Ovis aries: one gene and its partner. The protein of the gene in region 1 interacts with the protein of each later gene in a pairwise test. Links are inferred from orthologs where the notes say so. Each region holds a gene or a part of one and is shown on either strand. Other genes may lie near its edges. The genes, in order: glutathione S-transferase A4 and C3H2orf50.

Region 1 (7,152 bases):
GTTCAGCTTCCTTGGACATTTTTACTCCTATTAACAAATGAATTCTCTTTCTAGCTATGTGTGGAAGAAGGCCAGTTGTATTTTTGTAGCCTAGGGTTCAGACACCAGATATTCATGTAAATGGCAATGGAAGAAAAAAAATCCGTTTTCATTCATAGAGTCAAATCTTAACAATTTTCAGTAATTGAGAGGAAAAATCCATTTGACCTGGTAAAAATTCTAAATTATATGGGAACTGAACATCCATTGTCTATAATTATTCTAATAAAATCTTTCAAAATAAAGAGGTCATTTATTTAAAAAGCTACTATTTACCAAATGTCTCCTGTGTACAAAGCACAGCCTTAATTAAGCATGTTTACAGAAGTATTCACACATGTCACTAATATTAACAAAAATTCTAGTATGGAATTTGTTCCAAGAGTATAGTCATGCAGCAAAATCAAGAGACAACTTGTTTCATATGTAAAAAACTGCTCAGCTCTAAGGGCCAGGGAACCAGAAAACCAATTTCAAGTCTGTACTTTCGCTTCATTTTAGTAACTAGAATCTAGCTTCCCCGATGGCTCAGTGGTAAAGAACCTGCCTGCCAGTGCAAGAGAAGCAGGTTTGATCCCCGGATCTGGAAGATCCCCTGGAGAAGGAAAGGAAATAGCAACCCACTCCAGTATTCTTGCCTGAGAAATCCCATGGACAGAGAAACCTGGCGGGGTATAGTTTATGGGGTCACAAAACAGTTGGACATAACTTAGAGACTGCACAACACCACCACCGTAATGAGAACCAAAAAAATTACATACACATACAAATACAGAGCCAGTCAATCAATAGACATTGAAGGACGGCCCAAGAGTTGTGGGTCAATCTTCTAAAACATTAGTTTATTTACCTGGAGGTGAGGGAAGGCAGATAGGATATTAGGAATTTTCTCTTCTAGAGCCAAAATGGTCTGGAGTAGAATTATGTCTGCAAGACTCAGCTGATTACCAACAAGAAACCTTTGTCCATGACCCCGTAAAACCTGCAGGGTATAAATGTTTTATATCGGTTACAATAGTCGACATGGGGAAACTAATATAGCTATGGAATCAGTGCAGCATCTGAGAAAAGCTGAAACCATGGCCTTTTTCTTTTATCTTTTTACAAATAACATCAATTAAGAGGAAGTTCCCTAAGAGAGAATCAGCAAAAAAACGGTGTAGAAATGACAGCATCCATAGGTCTCTACTTTATAACAGAATGAGACCCTGAAAAGCTGAAGGAAGTATTAATTCTGGATTTAGCATCTGGTGCTTTAAAAGGATACAGCTGTTAACGTGTCTACAGAAAAGAATTAGTCCTCACGCATTCAGGAGATGGTGGGAAGGATGTAAGAAGTAAGCCACTGGTCCTGTCCAAGGAGTCTAATCTCATTTCCCAGTTCTGTGTTTCTACGACTGTCAGGACTCACAGTCGTAAACTAGACACAATAGTAAATAAAAAAAGCAGGCTTCCTTTAACATCTTCTAAGATCCCCTGGAGAAGGGAATGGCTGCCTACTCCGGTATTCTTGTCTGGAGAATCCCATGGACAGAGGCTAGTCTGTGGAGTTGCTAAGAGTCAAACACGATGGAGCGACTAACATTTTCACTTCACTTTCAAGACCAAGAAAATTAAAAGAATGAGAATTTATCCTGACTCCCATACTGAGGGTTAGGTGCAGAGATTCATAGGAATAGATGGCAATTAGAAAGAAGCAAGGAACAGGGGGAGACTAGGGGAGAGCCCCTTTGCAGATATGTGTATGTGCATGCCTGTGTGCGTATGAGAGAGAGAGAGGGACTCTAAGATGATTCCAAATCAAACAGAGTGACTGGAGCCAGACTGGAGAAAGACAGAGAGTCTGGAACTGTAGTCAGAGGCCAGAGTTCCAGTCCCGGCTCCCACCTTAGGCATGCCAGTCTCTCTGTGTTTCTATTTCATTACGTGTAAAAAGAAGGTAACAGGACCAGTGGGTAAGAATCTGCCTGTTAATGAAGGGGACACGAGTTTGATCCCTGGTTTGGGAAGTTTCCACATGCTGCGGAGCAACTGAGCCCTCGTGTCTCAACTGCTGAAGCCCACGCACCCTAGAGCTCCTGCTCGGCAACGTGAGAAACCACCATGATGATAAGCCCCCATGCTACACCTAGAGAGTAGCCCTCATTCACCGCAACCCAAGAAAGCTGGTGTGCAGCCACAAATACCCAGTGCAGCCATAAATAACTAAATAAATAAGAAAGTAATAACTTTTAGCTCGTATGTTTGGCAGAGTTCTGACGTAGTCTGACTCACAGGGAGACAGAAGCTGGCAGTGCCTTTATCCGAGACACCTGTTCCTCCCTCACCACAGCCCATTTCTGCATCATCATATTTACATTCACAAAGCTCCTGCAGGCAAGAGACCATGAAACCAAGGACAGAAACGCTCAGAAAGTACCTCTCTTCCTTCTTATCTACTTCCACGTCAATGGTCAGAGGAAATCTGCCAATTCCCGGCTTTCACGTGCTCTTGTTTTTTAACTGAGGCATTTAAAATAATCCTTCTCCATTGAGGAAAAGAGAGGAGGAGGTGAAGCTCAGAAAAACAGAAATAAGACAAGGAAGATAACAAAAGAGAACAAAAGGGAAGAGAAATAAGACAGCCACGGTTCTTCTCTTCATATGCAACTACCAAGTAGGATGGAACGAAAGAAGGGATGAAGGAGCCGGTTTCTGCGTGTCCTGTACAGGGTGGCCCCTGGCAAAGGCAAGCAATGACAGTGCACACAGGGGTGAGCCTGCATCTTTGCCAGAGAGCATGGAAGACTCTGGAAGAGTTGGGGAGGCTCCAGGACATGCTGGCTTTGTGCTGATGCAACTGTCAGCTCTTTGGAACCCAGGAGGCTGGTCTAGCAGGGCTCAGCTTTTACTCTGCCTGAGCAGAAAAGGGGTGTTTTGTGGTCTAGTGATGCTGTCTTCACAGGCTTCGCTGTCACCTACCTTTTCAAACACAGGAAAGTATCTAATTATAGCCTTCTGGGCCATATTAGCCACTTCCTTTTGCTGATCGTCCGGTTTGAGGAAAGGATGCATGATAAGCAGTTCCAGAAGATCCAGGGTCCCCTCCACATACATGTCAATCCTTCAAAACACACACAAAAAGCATTTTCTCAGTGGCCCCTCATTGGCTCCCACAGCTAAACATCCAGAGTGCTTTGCTCTTACAGCTCGGGCTACTTAAGTATCAAGAAACATTCATCTCCACCTGTCCCTTAACAGCAAAGATGCAAAGTCAACTCTAGTTATAAATCAGAAAACTTCTTCAGAGAAACCCATCACAAATCTTGAAGTACCAGAGTTATGGATGTCCTTTCTCCTGGCCCCTCACTCCAGCACCCATGCTCAGGATGTATACAACTTCACATTTGTAAAAATAGTGGGTACCATTTACAGAATACTCGGTGTGAACGAGGAGTGGTGCTAAATACCCTACATCTAACATTTCACTGAATCCTACAGCATTATGAGGAATATACTATTAGCAACCCCATCAGGACACTGGAGCCTAACACTTTGCCCAGGGGCATGATCCAGGAGGTACAAAGACCAGGCTCTGAGTTCAAATTATAAGCCAGTGCGCAGTATTCTGGGCCTTGAATGTCACAACAGCTTCCGATTCCTAACACTCAGTGATACTAGATTTGCAAGAATGGTAAAAAAAAACCATAATATCAAAGCATTTAAGGATGTTGAAACCTGCACCACACCCCAGACACAATTTCTAATATCCGAACTCAATCCTTTGCTCTCATTTTACTCAGACTCTCTGTACTGACTTTCCAAGTGGTCTTGATGACCTTTCTGGAGGTTTGTTCCCTGTTCGCACTAACGATATAGGCCATGCGGTGGACCAGGGGGCTGTGGAGGATGGCTAATGAGCTAAGCATTGGTAGAGGTACAATTGAGAACACTCCGGAGGAGCCACAGTACAGGGTTCTCTCCTTGAGGTCTTTGCCGAAGAGATGGTGCTTGTCTGCGATGTAGTGGAGGATGCTCCGGGTCTGCACCAACTTCATCCCGTCAATTTCAACCATTGGCACTTGCTGAAACAGCAGGTGGTTACCTGGGAACAGAAGCCCGGAGTTAGAAGTGCTCTCTCCCCTTTCCCCCATCCCTCGAAAAATGCTCTCCTAAATGGGGCCACAGCCTTAAGAAATAGTGTAAAGCTCCCCCAACTTCATTCAGGGGTGCTGATTTAGCCATAAAACAAGACTTAAAACTAGCATGGACATAAAGCTTTCAATTTTCACCCCAAGAAAAACACTTAGTCTCAATGTAAAGGGTGAGGGGTAACACAGTGAAGACATCTCTTTACAGAGCTGTGCTGGCCAATACAGTAGCCAGTAGTGACATGCGTATAGTTAAGCCTAAATTTAAATTGAACTTTTTATTTATTTTTTGTGTGTGGCTGAGGCATGCAGCTTGCAGGATCTTAGTCCTCTGATTAGGGATTGAACCTGGGCCCACAACAGTGAAAGCCTAGAATCCTAACCACTGAGCAACCAGGGAACTCTACATCAATTAAAAATTTTAAATATTTTTTTGACTGTGCCTGTGCCATGGGGCATGCAGAATCTTAGTTCCCTGAGTGGGGATTGATTCCAAGCCCCACTGCAGTGGAAGTGCAGAGTCTTAACCACTGAGTCACCAGCAAAGCCCTAAAACTTATGAAATATCTACAAGTCACTTCCTTCATCCCCATGGGCACAAATGCTCAGGAGTCACATGTGGCTGGCAGCTCCTGCAATGGCCAGAGCAGAACAAAACAACCCATCCGTGTAGAATGTCTATGACTATGTCACTTTGTCAGTCTGATGACGAAGCCCAAGACACCGACTGATACTAACGTATAGGCATCCACTGCCACAGCCCAGCTGCTGCCAAATATGCAGTCACTGGTCAAAAAGTCACCCCTTACTTTCTTCAAGAAGACTGTCTCAAACACTTTACCTACAGCAAACCCCAGGAACAGTCACAAGTATAGCACACAGCCCAGTCCTGGAGGGCTGGAGGCGGGTTGAGGGCAGATGAATACTCAGCACATGCGCAGTGTCACTCATGATGGAGACATCACAGCCCTGCCGAGCTGGTCCCTCTCCAGGGATCCTTGAGTTGGGCCTCAGGACCCTGCTGATGGCAAGGAAGGAGGCTGCTTACAGGGGTCAGGGTGTGACCAGGAGTTAAAGGCAGGCCTTTCACTGCTGTCTCATCTGTTTGGTACTTACTTGAGAAAGCAGCCCAGTGTAAACGGGGACTTTTATCTGCACACTTCAAGCAGATGCCTCAGGTAATAGGTAGGAGGTGGAAATTGAGGAGGGAAGGGATGAGGGAGTGGAAGAAAGAGGGGTAAAGGTGGAGGAAGGTCGGGGAGGAGAGAGAGATGGAGAAGGGCTGCCCAGTGCACAGAGGGAAGAACTACTCCCCCTTTGATTGGCTTTTATAGAACTACTGAAAATCAAGTGACTTTCTAGCAATTTTGGCCAATGTTCCCTCTTGCTTGTCTGGTTTTAGGATACTGTTCCGGATGTTTAGTGTCAGCTGGATCTTTGTCCTTCCACTTAAATATCAGTTCTTAAAAAAATCAGCATTATCGACAGTAATACATTTTTATACTCACCATCCTGCAACTTCTGCAACTGTTCTTTTGTTTCTAAAAATTCTTCATCGAACTAAATTTAAAAAGACACCCCCCCAAAAAAAAGAAGGGAAATGTCATTACGGTTTTAGGACTGAAAATACCAAGTTAAACTGCCCAAAAAACAGACAGGAGAACATACTCAGTACCCATATCTTGGTTTCTAAATATCCTTGGGCTCCCAGGAGTAAAAGTTGATTCTGTTATGTCAAAAAGTGAGGAAGTACTCAAAGACTAACAGATATATGTCAAAGGCAAAGACACGTGGGACCCTACCTAAGAGGGCTTCCCTAGCCACATTTGGGACAATTCAAGTGATACCAGGCACAGATGAGAATATCATCAACCAAAAAAATCCTTGTGTCCATAAATGATGATTCAAAAAAAGGAAGAAAGAAGGCTCTCTTTTCCAGAATTAGCACTAATTAATGCAGAATTGTTCCTAATTAACAATAAAATTAGAAAATCACCAATTTTCACCCTATAATGTAATAACTGACTCTGATAAGGATCAAGATGCTGAAATCGTTGGGTCATTGGGCATAGAATATTCACACAAAGCATCATCCCGCAGGTTACTTATTATGACCAAGAAAAAATGTCTCTGCAGATGTGTGCACCCACCTACCCAAGTGGTCAAGCTCAGTTCCCCACTGGGGCCACCTTGAGGCATCTCACAGTCCCTGCTGTGACAGTGAAGACACAGCGACACTGCAGAAACAGCATCCCAACCAATTCAACCTGGACGGAGCTGCAAGGTGAAACAGGGGCGTATCCAGAACGTTCGACACTCTGCAGTATACAAATGGTCTGCACTCTTTTCCAACCTACAGAACTGTTGTTTTCGAGCTCCTCCAGGATGGGCAGGTTTGGAAGCCAGTTGGGGGGACAGACTTTCTGCCTTTGCGGCTCCCGCTCCGTGGTCTTCATCACTTGTCTGGCTCCCACTTCCTAGATATCCATCCACTTCCCGACTGAAAGCATGAGCCCTGCTCTCAAGGGCAAATCTTTATTTACAAGGGATTCGACTGTAGCCAGGTAAACCGCCTCTGAAAATTCTCCAGGCCATTTGGCCTCCAAGTCACATTACTGAGTCTTTATTTCTCTTGGCAGAAATTCATGCAAGAGATTCAATCCCTCCTTCACACATTCCTTCTCTGTTAAGTGACAAGTATGAAAGAAAAGAACAAAATGTAGATTCTGTTCTAGATGAAAAGCGACTAGAGACATAACCACCAAGTGTCTAAATCTTGATTAGATCTTGGATGGAGGAGTGGTAGTTATAACTACTAAAGAGATACATTTAACAGTTATATAGACATTTGCGGCACAAGAGGCAACTTCTGAATTTGGATTATATATAAGATGTTGTAAAACTGATGTTATTTCCTTAGTTGTGACAATGTTATTACAGTTATGGGGACAATTTTATTTTTTTCTTAACAGGAAGACACACG
Region 2 (7,252 bases), on another chromosome or scaffold:
TTTTGGAGACCCCTAGCCCTCCTGCCTGTTACCCTCTCATTCCCCCCTTTTCTTTTAGGAGAATTATGTTGTGTCACCAATTTAGGGACGACGCCCCTTATCACCTTGGAAGCAGTTACCGGATGAAAACGACCCCCCTTCCCCTGGGCAACACACACACAAGTACTCAAGTCCCAGATCAATCCAGCCCCCCAACTCCCCCCTGCCCCCCGACCAGGAAACAGAACCCCATCTGCCTCAGAAGCCTACATTTAACCCTCAGTCACTGTCTCCACCTCCAAGGGGACCTGGTCTCAACCAGCCAGTACCAGGAGCTGGCTTGCCTGGTTCTGAACTTTACCGCAAAGGGATCCTGTCTCTGCCCTCCAGCCCCTTTCTCTCACTATGTGATGTGAGAATCCCCCGTGTTCCTGTGTGTGGCTGCGGCTCCTTCGTTCTCCATGTTACACGGTATTCTGTGGTGTGTTTGTGTGAATACTCCACAGGTCACTTTATTCTGCCACGGGGGCATTTGGGCTTGTTTCCAGTTTGAAGGGGGGTCTTAAGGAGGGGTGCTGCCCTGAACATGCTACCTGGTGCCTTCTGTAAACTGAGGATGTGTTGAGTAAATGTCTGGATTATGACTAATCTGATAAGCCTTCCCTGTCCTTGTTTATGGTTAACTTTGTGCTGCTCTGTGTCAAATCGAAGTGACAGGACCAGTTTTTAAGAAACAGGATCCTGGCTCTCACCTGGGAAAGTCTGTGCGGAGGTGGCCCCACGGTGTGGGCTTTCTGGGCGGGGCGTGGGTCTCAGGGGTCAGGTTGCTGATACACAGCCCTGGGCAGGGAGAGACCCTGCAGCCTGGGAGCCCGGATCAGGGGCTCAGGGTTGGAATTCAGATCCTGTGAGCTAAATCTTCCATCTAAGGACCAGCAGCAGCCCCACAAGGCTAGTCTTACAGATGTCACACCATCCCTAAAACCCACAGGGGCCGTGCTTGTGCGGCCACCACCTTGGTTGGCTGGTTACATTGTTCAGTTTGCAGTTTGGTTCTCTGACCATGCTTTTAACAGCCAGATCATTCTTCATTTGCTCATTGCTCTAACGTGAACTGAGCGCGAAATAGTTACTGGGTGCTGGGGGGTAAAGACTAGCTGGAGGTATGTGTTCAGCAATGAAGTCATCTTTGTCCTTTCTCCGAGGAAGCCCATGGCCAGGTAAGATTGTTCATTGCACGTGCCCAAGGAATGGGTGAGATGTCCTGGGGAGTGAAGAATATGGTGATCTGGCCATGCTTGCCAGGAAGAGGCCTCTTGGGTGGGGCCTTGAAGGATGATTAGGAGGCCATTAGGCTAAGTGGGAAGAGCATAAAAGAGAGTGCATCGGTCAGTGTGGAGTGAGCAAGGAGGGGGAGGAGGCAGGGCTGGATCATGGGAAGTGTTGCAAACCGTCCCGGAAAATGCAGATTTATGGAAGGATTTTAAACCAGGGGGAGAGAGAGAGAGAGAGAGAGAGTTTTGCAGTTTAGAAAAGTTACTCTGGTAGCCACGTGGAGGATGGATTGGGGCTGGTGATATTAGATGCAGGGAATTTGTTTACAAGTGTTTTCACTCAGACTGATCCTCTATGTGGGGCCAACCTCACGTCACTCTATCTTGCTGATACCGTCGGACCGGGAGAAACGTGTCAGCAGCTGGTACTTACCAGTTCCAGCGAGTTCATCTCACTGCAGTCAAGGAACACTGGGGAAAATTCATTTCTAAATGCTCTACAGAAGTATTTTATTTCCCATCAAATCCAGAGTTTCTGGAAACAAGGTTCCATTTTATTCATCTCTGTCCATTGCAGCATCTAGCACCCAGCAGGTCCTCAATAAACAGATGAATGAATAAACACTCCAAGTGCAAGCATTTCAGATGGGAACATGGTCTGTCTTACCATGGGGTCATAGTCTTTCAGGAAACTCCAGTTCTGAGCCCTGGAAAGGAAAGCATGATGACAGTGTGATCCTCCCTATGGCGTTTTTACCTTCATTTTAACAGGGTCACTCAGATGGTAAAGAATCTGCCTGCAATGCAGGAGGCCTGGGTCCAATCCCTGAGTCAGGAAGATCCCCCGGAGGAGGAAATGGCAACCCACTCCAGGATTCTTGCCTGGAGAATCCCATGGACGGAGGAGCCTGATGGGCTACAGTCCATGGGGTCTCAGAGTCGGACACGACTACATGACTAACACTTTCACTCCATTTCAAGGGAATAAGTTGCTGCCACAAATGCGTGCATTACATCATGGAGGAACTACAATCATTAAGTGGAACAAACTCCAAGATCAACATTTCAATAGAGAGGAAAGTCTGATTGCAGGGGGTGTGGCAGGTGGATCAGGAAACCGGAAGCCATTTCACCCCAAGCGTCTGCCGGGGTGGGGTCGGGTGTGTGGGGGCGGGGTCGGGTGTGTGGGGGCGGGGTGGGGTGTGTGTGTGGGAGTGGGGTCGGGTGTGCGGGGAGGGGGTCGGGTGTGCGTGGGCGGGGGGGGGGGTCGGGTTGCATGGGCGGGGGGCGGGGTCGGGTGTGCGGGGGGCGGGGTCGGGTGTGCGGGGGCGGGGTCGGGTGTGTGGGGGCGGGGTCGGGTGTGTGGGGGTGGGGGGTTGGTCTCCCAGTCTTTTGAGAAGAAAAGCCGGCTTTCATCTTAACAAAGCTTGGTAACCTTCCAGGGCTTGAGACAGAGGAAGGTGGGTGGTGCTGGGGAAGTGATACTGTGAAGAATGGTGTTATCTGTGCTGGCAGTTTTATTTTTAATCTATTTTTAAAAAGTCAAATAATTCTCCAAGACTTAGAAGAAAAAAAAAGTTTCTCTGCCCCAATCCGCACAGACCACAAACACCATGACCTAGAGTCATGGCACCAGGGGGACCCTGTCTTTGTAAATGTCCCCTGTACCCCAACACACACACACACTCCATCTCTCCGACTCTAGTCCATCCATCAGCAATTTTAATTCTACCACTAAAACCTCCCTTGAATTCTCCTACCGGTCCCCAGCTCAGGCCACCATGGCAGCTCTGCTGTCACTTTAAATGTCACTTTGCCCTGTCCCCTCCACCTCACCAGGAACAGCAGCCAGACTGGTCATTTAAACTGTAAACTAAATAAATAAATAAACTGTAAACTAGCTCCAGTCAGCCTCTTGCTTAAGACCCTCCAGGGTGTCCCATGACATTTGAAAAAAAGTTATTGGGACTTGAGAAACTGCCCAGCTGCCTCCTCCTACTCCCCCCACTGAGGCTCTTGTCCCCTTCCTGACCACCCCAGCCACACGCATGGTCTTTATATTGTGGCTTTTTAAAATACACCAAACTCTTCCATGGCCCTTCTCATACTCGGGTCCCAACCTGAATGCCACCTCCCCAGACAGGCCTCCGTGAGCCCCCAGAAAAGCAAGACGCCAGTCTGCTCTGTCGGTCCCCTCCTGACACCAGCTGCATGTTGCTCTTGCCTGTGTCTCTGTTGCTTTCTGGCTCCTCGTCCTGAGAGTGAGGACGCCGCGGAGATGGGCCTGGGCCCGTCTTGTCCCCTGTGGCAGCCTGGCACGGCGGCGGCTCTTTTAGGGACTTCTGGACTGAATGATGCCTGAAGGGGCGCCCTTTGCTGGGTCAGAGGGCCGGCGCCCCTCCCCAGGCTGCTGCCACCCCACGCCTCCCCAGGCTTCCTGACCTCCCCACGCTCCCGCCCTCGCAGTTCATCCTTTGAGCTCCAGCTGGAAGGATTATTGCAAAGGGAAGCCGGGCTTCCAGAATGCACATGGTGGGGTCTCACCTCCCGCCTACCTGCCCCTACTCTGTGGGCCCCTGCTGGGCTCCCTCACCTCCCCTGGTCCAGGCTCTTGCTCCTTGGCCCAGCACTTTTCTATCAGTGTCCTTCACCTGGCTTACTCCCTCTCACTCCCAGGTCTCGCTGTCTCCGGAAGCTTCCTAGACCCTGAGCTAGGCTGGGGGGCCCTGGGGAGAGGACAGGGCAGGACACTCACCAGCGCTGCTGGCTCCTCCTCTCGGCCTCCAGCAGCTCCCTCCACAGCTGGTCCTGCTGCACACCGTCAGCCCCTGGGGCTGACCGCTTGGCCTTCAGGGCCTGGGGGCCACCCGCGGGACCCCTGCCCACCACAGAGCCTCCTGGGGCAGTGGACGGGACTGAGGCTGGAGGCCTGGTTGAACGCAGTTGGTACTCAGCTGATGTAGTTCTCTGGAGCCCAGGAGTGGGGCGGCTTCCCATGGGTGCAAGTGTGTAAGACTGTGTGTGTGTGTGTGTGTGTGTGTGTGTGTGTGTGTGAGAGAGAGAGAGAGAGAGAGACTCTTGCCTGAGCTCAGAGAGCTTTCCCGCATTTACACCAGGAGAGCTGTGCAGAGGTTCTCTTTGGCCCCCCAGATCCTGAGCTCAGAGTGGCCGATGGGGACCAGGCCCTCCAGGCTGCAGAGAGCATTGGAGCCCAGTTGTGTCTGAGCTTCTGTCTGTGTTGACTGCTGCCCTGGGAACGGGCAGCTCCCTAGTGTGCTAAGGAGGGGAGGGCCTTGTGTGTCTATGTGTGTGTGTGTGTGTGTGTGTGTGAGAGAGAGAGAGAGAGAGAGAGAGAGAGAGAGAGAGAGAGAGAGAGAGAGACATCTGAGCCCCAGGCTTGGGTGGAGAGAGTTCCTGGTCTGAGCCAAGCCAGCTCGGCTGCCCTCAGCTCTGCCCCTCTGCCCCCCTGGCTGGAGACCTCAGTAGAGCCTGGGGGAGAGAAGCAGTAAGAAGAGACATGGGTGGGAATCTGCCCCAGGTGGGTGCCGTGGGGCTCACAGGAGAAGGTGGATGGGCAGTTCTCTGTGAATGAGAGTGTGGCGCTTTGCGTACAGGCCAGGCGAGGGAAGATCAGTGATGCTGCACAGTTAACACCTGCTCTTCTGCAGAGAACTGGAGGGTTTGCAAAGTGCTGCCCTTGATCTTGCTTGACTCCCCTAGTCATGCAAGGCAGGCATCTCCAAGCCCACTGTACAGGTGAGGAAATGGAGGCCCTCACCAGCACGATAAGTAGCTGCCCAGGGCCACTCAGGTGCCAATTGTAGCCGGGCCTTGAGTTCAGATCCTCAGAAGGAAACAGTGAGAGCCCCCAGGGTAGGGATTCCTGTTCTGAACCTTTGGCTCTGTTTCTGCTCTGACCCACACAGCCCAGTTCCCTTGTGGCCCCAGGCCCCTCCTGCTCTGCTCAGCTGGCATCCTCAGATATCTTCCCCTTTGGTTTGTGTCCCCGGCCCGTTGCACTTCCCGGGCTCTTGACTCCTTCTTACCCCCCGTGTGTGTTGGCAAAGTCATGGATCTGTGGGATGACCCGTTGGGCATGGTGCTCCTGCCTCTGCAAGGCTGGGAAGCAGACACACTAGCAGATGGCTACACACATACACACGTGAACACACGTGCACACACACGCCAAGTCCTGCTATGTGGACGGTGCACAAGGCACCCCAGGGTGTTCGCACAGGTGTAGCCAACACACCAGCTGTTTGCCCACCCTGGGAGCATCTTTTGGATTCAGTTTTCATAAAGGAGGCCCCAAGGACTTGGGTCTTATGGGTGCCTAGCATTTCCAGGTCGAAAAACTGGGGCAAATGCGAAAGCTTGCCAGGTGGCTCAGTGGGTGAAGAACCTGCCTGCCAGTGCAGGAGATGCAAGAGACTCGGCTTCTATCCTTGGCTGGGGAAGAGCCCTGGAGGAGGAAATGGCAACCCACTCCAGTATTCTTGCCTGGAGAATCCCATGAATGGAGGAGCCCGGTGGGCTACGGTCCCTGGGGTTGTAAAGACTTGGACACACGACTGAGCTACTGACTGATTGAGTGCAAAAGCTTGGACACACGAGAGAACAGGTATTTGAGCTCGGTCATTGGGTTGCAGGGAGGGGTCCAAGCCCTGGGCTGTTTGGAGCTATGTGGGGAGCTTGTGCACGGAGCTTGTGCACAAGGGAGCATTCCTGCCCTTGAGCCACAGGGCAAAGAAGACCAGGGAAGGACACGCAGGTGAGGGGACGTGGCCGTGGTCCAGGTGAGAGGAGGTGCTGAAGCCCCCGCTGGCCTTGGCTGAGGGCTGGAGGGAGGAGACGGGGTGAGAGCTGCCAGACTGCTGAGAGCTGCCGGCACTTGTCTAAGGAAGGGGCTGAGTGAGTGTGACCTGCTGGGACGTCTGTCTAAAACCTGGGGCTGCGGGACTGGGCCTCTGTCTCTCCAGAGCCAGGATGAGAACTGCTGGCCATTGGTAACTGGGAGGCCTCAGGGCTCAGAAGCAGGGTTCCCTGGCTGTCGCTCTCTCTTAGGTGTTTGTGGCCGCAAGCAGAGCCAGGACAGGTCCCTGCAGTGCCCAAGAAGTGGCAGCTTTGATCTCCTTCAGCCTCTGGAAGGGGTCTCATCAGTGTGTTCACAGAGCCCAGTGCCTGCTGCTGCAACACCACGCACAAGGCCGACTGCAGCCGGTGGCACAGAGTAGCCTGGAACAGCCTTGCAGTCTGCTCAGATACCCTGGCCCAGGTTTCCTGGTCACCTGCTCCGGAGATAAGGGACAGGACCAAAAAGGCCAGCCACGGCAATCCTGGATGGCCGAGCATCCAATGTATGTAGACGCTGAATGTTTCCATGTGGACTGGTTTTTAAAAATTAAAATGTATTTAGAAATTATTTTCTAAATCAGTCCTAAAGGAAATCAATCCTGAATATTCATTGAAAGGACTGTTGCTGAAGCTGAAACTCCAATCCTTTGGCCACCTGTTGCGAAGAGCTGACTCATTTGAAAAGACCCTGATGCTGGCAAAGATTGAAGGTGGGAGAAGGGGACGACAGAGGATGAGATGGTTAGATGGCATCACCGTCTCAATGGACATGAGTTTGAGTAAACTCCGGGAGTTGGTGATGGACAGGGAAGTCTGACGTGCTGCAGTCCATGGGGTCGCAAAAGTCAGACATGACTGAGTGACTGAACTGACTGAGAAACTATTTCAGACTGATAGTAGAGAGATGAGTATATATGTGACAAGCATACACAATAGGATGTTCCTTATAAAATCTAGGGGATGGTAGATGGGTATTCACTGTACCATTCTTCTGACGTTTCTGTGTATTTGGACATCTCCATTATAAAATACTGGTGGGAAAAAGAGACTGCACCTGCCAGTCTAGCTTGAACACATTTCTTTCCGCAATCACTGATCTGGAAAAAGTGTCCAGATTCACTCTGGGTAGGTCTCATTAACCCCAC

Evidence for each region.
Region 2: the proteins of glutathione S-transferase A4 (region 1) and C3H2orf50 interact in binary tests that used the Homo sapiens proteins (3 or more experiments, as listed by UniProt). The two-hybrid records come from large-scale screens. The link is inferred for Ovis aries from reciprocal best matches to the Homo sapiens genes GSTA4 and CIMIP5.

What each region holds. Positions count from the first base shown.
Region 1 is NC_056073.1:24,881,323-24,888,474, forward strand, and holds part of glutathione S-transferase A4, read right to left. Parts: intron 5,730-7,152; coding exon 5,678-5,729; intron 4,124-5,677; coding exon 3,991-4,123; intron 3,143-3,990; coding exon 3,001-3,142; intron 1,022-3,000; coding exon 890-1,021; intron 1-889. UniProt on the Homo sapiens protein: Conjugation of reduced glutathione to a wide number of exogenous and endogenous hydrophobic electrophiles. This isozyme has a high catalytic efficiency with 4-hydroxyalkenals such as 4-hydroxynonenal (4-HNE).
Region 2 is NC_056056.1:20,144,302-20,151,553, reverse strand, and holds the start of C3H2orf50 (uncharacterized protein C2orf50 homolog), read right to left. Parts: upstream 4,498-7,252; 5' UTR 4,251-4,497; coding exon 4,009-4,250; intron 1,961-4,008; coding exon 1,921-1,960; intron 628-1,920; exon of another isoform or gene 59-627; intron 1-58.